Linked DNA regions of Tribolium castaneum. The protein of the gene in region 2 interacts with the protein of the main gene of each other region in a pairwise test. Links are inferred from orthologs where the notes say so. Each region holds a gene or a part of one and is shown on either strand. Other genes may lie near its edges.

Region 1 (4,351 bases), on a different chromosome or scaffold from region 2:
TAAACTAGTATTTTTCTGGTACAAATCTGAAAGTCAAATTACTAGTTTTTGTTCCTGTCTGCCATCGTATACAATTTGCAAACGTAATTCCCCGAGGACACAAAAAGTCGATGAAAAACCAAAAATTTTCCTTACAATTAATCGTGAACCACAACGGAACGTCAAAAGTAATTAATGTTAAAATATTACCGGACATAATCACGTCTTTCACTTTTCAAACAATTGATATTCTCATAATTCATGGAATTATGAATTTGTATAAAACGCTGCAACAAGAAAACCTTGACATTTCTAATTTATGTACAGTTCACGACAAACCAAAATAAAATTCAGATGCCCTTAAGACCTCCCCGATAACAATTTCCATGTGCACATGAAAACAAAAAGTGAATCACTTCAAAAACAATAATAAATCACTGATAACAGTGATATGTAATTCTTAAGCCTTATCTTTCACTCGATCAGCAAAAGAAACACAAAGAAAATTAAAACGGCCGGAAACACATTCGACTTTCCCATGAAATTACCTTTTGTTCTTACCCACCCGGAGCTAAAAATTTGCAATTCCGACTTACAAATCCCTTAATCCCCCCACGCCGTCGCGACGCTAATCGCATTATTAAACAACCGCACCGAAAATCAAATTTCCTTATTATCGCTATACAAACAATCGGTAAACACACACGTTTCTCTCAACCTTGGTCCATGAAAAAAGACGGAATTGTACAATTTTTTTCACGTGAAATTATTCAAAAATCACAAACATCCACGGTCAGCGCGCTTGCGTCATGACCACTGCCGGATTTTTTTTTACAAGTGGGAGTCCGAGCTCTAATCCGTGTGGAATGCGGAGCAGCAGGAAACGAGATTCTCTTATCTATTTATCAAATGTGAGACAAGACATAAATATTATGCGGACGGCTGTGTTGCGATTACATTATTTAGTGACACGACAACGAGGAAAAATCTCCAAGTTGACTGTAAATTGATTTGGGCGCTTTGTTTACATGACAATTACGTGACGAGAAAGCTTTTACTTACCCGGGGAGGTCAGTAAACAGTAATTTCTCGAGGGACACACAATGCTATGTTTACACACTCCTATACACGAGCATACTCTGAATTCTGATTGGATCGGTTTGACACATTCCGATAGGACTTGGGCGAGCTTTCGATTTGAAACAGCAAGTGCCATCTTCTATTTTTTTACTAAAGCTATGCTACAGAGTTCTATTCAGGCGCGCGGTCTAAATATATCGTAAAATACTGGATAAAAAAGGGATTTTGGGGCAGAATAAATATCGATGTTTCTATTGTATAACTTTATTCAATAATAATAATAAAAAAAAAGAAATCACTGGCCATTAATAGACGCCCTCGGTGTAATTCTGCAGCACCTTCATGAGCGGTTCATAGACTAGTTTGGCGGCGTGTTTGCCAAATAAAAAGTCAACGTGATTAAAACTTTGTAATGGTACTTGATACATCCCAACGTTGTTTGTTAAATTCTGAGACAACCTAATTACGTCCTGAAAAAACACCATTACTCAAAAAAAAAATTACCGAATGCACTTACAATATAACTCGCTAGAAAATCATTAAGTGCGTACATTAGATACGTCTTAACTTTAATATTGAGTAATTTATACTGGGGTGGTGTTAGAGTCCCATATTTAATTTGATTACCATTGGGCCCATAGTCATACTGTTGGAACTTTCCGTCATATTTGATTTCCTGCGCGTAATGTAGGACTGTTTTGGTGGAAGATCCTGCAGGATCATGACTCAAAACAACCGGCAAGAGCTCCTCATTGAACTCCTCTTTATCAAAACCACACAAAGTGAAAATAACGTCTTCGCAAATTTCCTTATCGATTTTCAACAACTCGCAATCGTACCCCAAAAACTTCATTATTTTACTGTTGGGCAGAAATTGATTCAGACCCAAATATCGCGCCAGCCATTCGAAATCGTAAGCAAAGGGCGACAAATACCGAATTGGGGACTTCACATGCGTCATATAAGCCACCGGTGCTAGGGCTACCATCAGTTTTACGTTTTTGGCGGCTTGTGGTTTAGTTGAAGCCAAAACGAAAAACATTGTGGTCCCCATCGAGTGCCCCACGTAGATTATTTCGCCCGGTTTGTTTGTTGTGTTACTGACGTAGTAGAGTGCAGCTGGGAGATCATAAACTCCCATCTCGTGCCAGCTAAAGTTCCAATATTGGGGGCTTTCGATCGGTAGAGTAACATGAGCTTTGGAGTAAGTGTTACCTCGAGCGTTACCCATCCAGACGTCATACCCGGCATCGGCCAATATAAAACCTTATGAAACCGTAACTCTTGGATCAAAAATCTGAAAGTACGAACCTAGGGAGTTATTCCCTGCCGTTATCCAATCGGCGCTACTCGAAAGCAGCCCGTGTTGGAGAAAGACAGGTTGGCCCCCACGTTGGCCGCTCTTAGGCCCTGGGATGCGATGAATTGTGAGGATGTAGCCGTCTTCCGTTGTGACGTAGTGAGATTCGGCCGGATAGCCATGTCTTCGGGCGATTTGGGGCTGCGGGCGTTTTAATTGGTGTTAAATGACGGGATTACTACTTACTGTATCTAAATCGGCGTCCGGATTGTAAGGACAAGCCGAGAGGTTTTCAAACGAACATTTGACACTGTTTGTAACGTTTTCACAACGAAAAATTGGTAAAAATAGGACGAGGAGTAAAAATCGATGCATCGCAAAGACGATGACAATTAACCTAAACTTTGGACGCAACAGAACCAGTTTTACGGTTCAAGTCTGCCAAACTGAATAGCTAATGAGTTTTTTCAATGGTTTAAAATAATTCTGCATTTAAAAACGATAGCCCCACGTGAGTCATGCAGAAGTGTAATTTCATTGGTTTTTACTCACCAAGGCCGCTCTATCACTGACGTGAGGTCCAAAGTCGGGAAAATCACTCTATTTGTTGTGATTAGCTAATTTTCGTTAAACCTTTATCTATTTTTAAACAAACTAAAAACACAATTGTGACTTGGTTTGAATTTTGCGCCGCCATTTTTGTTTGGTGATTTCACGGTAACTTGATGCATTTACTTCAAAGCAAAATGCAACTTAAATCATACAGTAAGAGAGACTTAAATTAATGCAGTTAAATTACAATTACATATAATTATCTTGTGCACGTCGATGGATCGTTTCAGTTTCACTGGAATAATCTCAAAAATTGAGTTTTTGTCAAATTAAAAAACCAGATTTTGAATCCTCATGTTGGCGATATGGGTGTTTGGCGTCTGTCGAATGTCAAAATGCTTTTTCATCAATAACAACAATGTTTGTATCGTGTTTTAAACATTAAACGCATTGATTATTCAAAAAATGGGAAGCGAAAAGGTATTTCCACCCCTTTTCCCTAAAGCAACTCCTGCATGTTGCAATTTTTCCCGGTCGTTTATAACCTATACAAACAACCCCTTTCTAGCTCTTGTTCCGCTTGGAACAGCCCCATGGCACCGGTGATATTTACACGACATGGCAAAATGGCTCTGGCATGTATCTTGCAACGACTGGGATCGACTGTATGGTCAATATTTTCGACCGTTATGGACAAATCCAGGACCGTATCCGCTTGCCCAGGTGCCCCATTCCTTTCAATTTTCCATTTAATTAAACCCAAAATTGCAGTCTGTGCACCGGTTTTGGGTGGGACTCGGACGGTGATCTCTTGGCGGTAATTTGCCAATCACCTCAACTCACACTGTGGGATGCAAACACCCAGAAAAAGATTCAAATTGATGTGAGATTGAAGGACCAAATGTCGTGCGTGATTTGGGCCAAGACCGCCCCCATGCTGGCCGTGGGGACGGTCAAAGGAAACATATCTATTTATAATCACAACACATCAAAGTTAGTTGTTTTTTTGTTGTTTGTTTTTTTAATTGTCGGTTCTAGACGCACTCCTGTTATTGGCAAGCACGCGAAAAAAATCACGTGTGGGGCTTGGAACACGGAGAATTTGCTCGCACTAGGGTCTGAGGATAAAACAATTTCTATCAGTAATGTAGACGGGGATACGCTCAGAGTGATCAATTTGCGGGCAGAGCCGTCTGAAATAAATTTTTCGGAAATGAAGCTCGACGAGCGCATGGGGGGCGAAAACACTGTAATTTTTTCAAGTTTCCGCTGATTATTTCGCGTTAATTGTTAATTCCAGGTCAGCGTAATTGTGGGAAAGCGCACTCTCTATCTTTACAATTTGTTAGACCCTGACAATCCCATTGAATTAGCATTTCAGCAGCATTATGGCTCTATTGTTACGTATAAGTGGTTCGGAGATGGTTATATTTTAATCGG
Region 2 (4,496 bases):
TTATGTTTTTAAAATTGGAACAACCTATACTTTTTTGCACTTTTGAATGTATCTTTTAACAGTGATATTTTTAAGCTAAATTGTTATTAGTCGAATTTGCTTTATGTTTTTAAAATAATTTGATATTTTGACAAAAGCACGCTATCTGAAAAAACATATAAAAACTAAAAATCTCAGAAAAGTTGTAGTAACTTTCACCACTTTAAAGAAGAAAGTTCAATCTTAAAGAATATATTATTTTTTTTGTAGTCGAAAAGTGAAATTTTCTGCTAATAATAACTTTAATGTTACTCTATTATTCATCATTTATTACAATGAAATAACTAAAATTTTAATATCTATGGCAAATTTTTAAATTCCCGTATAAACTCCAACAAATGGTCTGTGCTGGAGTTGCTATGGTTACAACAATGTTCATGAATAGTCTGCATTGTTGCTAGAAATAACTTTTAAAGTGACATATCTTTAGTTATTAACTTTAGACATTTAAAACTTTATGTTTTTTGATAGATAATTTAATAATCTTTGAAAAGCAAGAACAAAAAATAGGGTGTTCCATTTAACCTTTTCAAGTTATTCAACTTTTAACAAACTTCTTAATTTTTCTGTTTCCAATAAATTGTAATGCGCTAAACTAATTGGAACAGATTTAAGTTTGAACTTTTCCCTTTAAAGTGATCAAAGTTCTACTTTAATAGAATTCTTTGTTTTTATGTAATAAATTTTTAAATAAAACGTGTTTTTGGCAAAAAACATCAAATTATTTCGAAATCTAAGCAGAATCGACCAATACAAGTTTAAATTAAAATCATCAGTATTAAAAGCTACATCCAAAATGCAATAAAATATCGGGTGTTCCATTTGGAAAAACGTAACGTTAGTGTTTTTTTTAATATTGGGACATCTAAATATCCGTTTTTCAAACCATAGAGATCTCCGTTATTATAAGACAAACAAGGTCGGTTAAATTAGGGCAACGTTGTGCATTATCATGCTGAACAATTATCTGCAAGAAAATTTGATGTATCATTTTTAGTTTTTAGATTATTAAAAAAAAACACGAAAATTTGTAATTTTTGTTTTCATTTTTGCAAGCGAAAACCAAAAGACCAGACGTTTTTAACTAGGACGTTCTTCAGGCACTTTTTTACAAGAAATCTAAATCTATCATCATATTTTCCAAGGCGTTCTTGATATCAAAGGTTCAACTCTGGTTTTTCTTATAAACGCTATATTTGATAATTGTATTTTTAAAAAGTGTTTTATTTGTTCCTGATTACAACGATGTGCAAAAAACGCTTTTTTCTTAATTTTAATTAACATGTAAGATTAGACCATATCATGTTGTAATCAGGAAGAAGGAAGAAAAAGCCTATTCAAAAATACAAGTGTCAAATATGGTGTCCATAACAAAAACTAAAGTTGAGTGTTGTAACTCTGACATCAAGAACGCCTTGGAAAATATAATGACAGATTTAGATTTGTAGTAACCAAGTTCCTGAAAAATGTCCTACTTAAAAATGTCTAGTTCTTTCAATTTTCGCGTCAAACAATAAACACGAAAATTGCAAAATTTTGACTTTTATCAATAATTCAAAAACTAAAAATAACTCATCAAATATTCTTTGAGATAATTGTTCAGCATATAAATGCGCATTTTTGCCCTAATTTAACTAACCTTGTACTCTTATAATAACTGTGATCCCCATGGTAGAGCTCGAAAAACGGATACACTGTATATTTGCCTGGTTCAAATGCTTTTACATATTTTTCATTCAACAACTCCCATTTTTTAGTCACATAAGTCGAGAAATTACCATCAGTACTAATCAATAATAACTGTGAAAAATAACATTAAACGATTTCCTTTTTTGAAAATAAATGTTACCACGTCTTTCAGACAAAAATTCACTTATTTAGCTAAAATAAAAACAAAACCACAAAGAGAAGGTTGAAAATGCTATAACACCATTTCCGTCCAAAATTTTGCCAAAAATGGCCAAAATAAATCAAAAGTAAATTTTCTCGAACCTATACAATGTGTTTTTAAATGATTCTCATCTAGTTAACTTGGTTAATTGGTTTAGATGTAAAAAAAAATTTGTGCCGCTCTGCTTAATTGAACCCTCTGTTAATAGATGTCAAATCTATCAGTTGTAAAATTTTATTAATTTCTTTTAAAAATTTCTTTAAAATGTTACACTTTTATTATCGAAGCTTATTTTCGAATTGGAGACTTGTAAATGGAAAATGGTAATATTCGATGTCTAAATGCCTATCCTTAATTATATGAAGCGGCATTTTCTGATTTTACATAAGAATTTCACAGACGACTAGATAAGAACCATTTAAAAACACAGTGTATTTACAAAGTGATGTAACTCATATTTTGAGAAAAAAACTTCCTTCGTAAAATTTCGTGTAAGACGCCAAAAAATTATCAAATATGTTGCAATTTATTTTATTTTTAGTTGAAAAGTCCCTTAGTTTGCAAACTTTGCTTGTAATTCAGATACAAACTGACTTTACTTTGAGACGTCTCTTAGAAAGTAACGAAACAAAAAAATTAAGGATTTAAACATGTTAAGTGCTTGTTACAGTTTATTAATATTACTTTACCTAGCGAGCCGCCACTGTTTAAAAAAATCGAAAAACTAGAACAGCTGTTTCCGAAATAATTCACCGACGTTATCCAATCGGCAAATTCTTGAAATAGAGTAAAGAAATTTGCGCAAGAAAGCTGCTTGAATTTGTGTACAAATAGGGGCGTAATTGCCAAAATACCACTACCTGGTGAAGTCGTGCGAGTTGAGCGATTCCCACGACATCCTGTTCAACCACTAAATTTGTTTAAGCGCATTTTGCAAAAATAGGCCGATTTTGTGAACGAAAAAAACGTAAAAATCGAGTTTTTTTCTCAATATGTACACGACGTCAAAACACACCCCTTCGACCACCATCCAGCATCCCCGACTGAAGCACAACCAGATCATTATTTCGGAGGATGTCGGAGGAAGTCGGACAGGATAAGCGGCCAGGACCAGGTCGGATCGCTTCGGGATCCTGCAGGATTTAATTCAGGATGTGACCCGATCGATTTGTTACGACTGCCTTGACAAAAAAAATTGAATTTTTGTCTCATTAATAATTCTAGCAGTGGATTTAAAATAGGTGGAGAATTCCTAAAGTTCCGGATGTCGCCACGTGTTCGCATTAGTTTCAGTGATTGATGATTGCTGTTTGAAGAGCGATAAAAGATATTGTTCGGGGATTTTTCAGGTGTTTCAGGATTATAAATCGAAAGGGCGGGAAGGATTTATTGCGTGCCGAACGGTCTTGAAATTTGTTAAAGAAAATTTCAGTTTCACAATCGAATTTTCAAGCACGAACAAAGCGAAAAAATGCATTTTTTACATTTTATTTACATTTACAAATTTATTAATCAGGACTACGATTTATTTAACTTCAGACAGTCGAAATTTCTAGACACAAAGTTAGAATTCAAACTTTTTTAAAGTTTTTATGAAAATTCAAAATTCACAAATTCTAAGTTAGAATTCTGCCTTTTAAAACTGAATTCCGAACATCAAAGTTACAATTAAAAAAAATAGTTTTTCAATACAATGGTAAAACTTCAAATTTCAATGCAGAAAGCTAAAATTTTTAGTATTTTTAGACATAAAACTTTGGATATCTTACGGTTTTGAAATTTTTTGTCAAATATTCACGTAGATATCGACTAGAATTTTTATATCCTAATTAGAAATTCAAATTTCAGAACCCCAGATTTAAAATTTTAAAAATAAAAATTTAAAGGCATTGGCAACTTAAAACAACTTTGCCTTAAATGATAGTACTGAAAACGCTTATTACAATAGTGAAAACCGTTTCTCTGTATCTGCTTTCTAACTCAAGTTATTTGGATTTAAATTTGAAATTATGACGTGGTAACCGCCTCTCGAGCATTTGGTTCAATATTAAGATCAAATGGTTATTAACTTTTAAGTGACACTGTCAGAGTTTATCAAAATTTCTCAGAAGTTTTCGCAAAGTTCAAGACAAAATTTGGAATAGAAATTAGTCAAAAAAGAAGTTAATTTTTGATTTTGAGGAAATTCAAGTTAAAATTCCAAGTTTAGGTTTAGAGACACTTGAAATATATTAAAATTTCTAGCAAATATTTAACACAAAATTCGGAATTTCAATTCCTAAAACCAGAAAACTTTTGCTGTAATTTTTGTCTATTTCAAAATTTATTTTTTTTTTCGTGTAACAAAGTGCGAATTTCAAGTCACAAAGTCAAAATTTTATATTCAAAATTTATAATTCCAACTTCTTTTATCAAATATACATTTACAAATAAAATTTTAGTTATCTAATTAGTATTGGCACTTAAATTTATAAATAAAAAACAAAAATTTCAAGTTTTTATTACTTAAGTTAAAGTTCACATTTAAAATATAAAATATTTAGTTGGTATTAAACATTTGAGTTTA

Evidence for each region.
Region 1: the proteins of 43 kDa receptor-associated protein of the synapse homolog (region 2) and guanine nucleotide exchange factor for Rab-3A interact in a two-hybrid assay, tested with the Caenorhabditis elegans proteins (2 studies listed by BioGRID). The link is inferred for Tribolium castaneum from reciprocal best matches to the Caenorhabditis elegans genes rpy-1 and rabi-1.

What each region holds. Positions count from the first base shown.
Region 1 is NC_087402.1:3,494,920-3,499,270, reverse strand, and holds the start of guanine nucleotide exchange factor for Rab-3A, read right to left. Parts: upstream 3,058-4,351; 5' UTR 2,912-3,057; intron 2,880-2,911; exon of another isoform or gene 2,735-2,879; coding exon of another isoform or gene 2,606-2,734; intron 2,561-2,605; coding exon of another isoform or gene 2,371-2,560; intron 2,326-2,370; coding exon of another isoform or gene 1,577-2,325; intron 1,530-1,576; coding exon of another isoform or gene 1,365-1,529; exon of another isoform or gene 1,308-1,364; intron 1,188-1,307; exon of another isoform or gene 1,042-1,187; intron 1-1,041. Other genes in the region: lipase 3, read right to left, coding at 1,365-1,529, 1,577-2,325, 2,371-2,560, 2,606-2,734; Oseg6 (WD repeat-containing protein 19), read left to right, coding at 3,377-3,391, 3,480-3,634, 3,683-4,160, 4,212-4,351.
Region 2 is NC_087401.1:7,884,185-7,888,680, reverse strand, and holds the start of 43 kDa receptor-associated protein of the synapse homolog, read right to left. Parts: upstream 2,991-4,496; 5' UTR 2,829-2,990; coding exon 2,788-2,828; intron 1-2,787.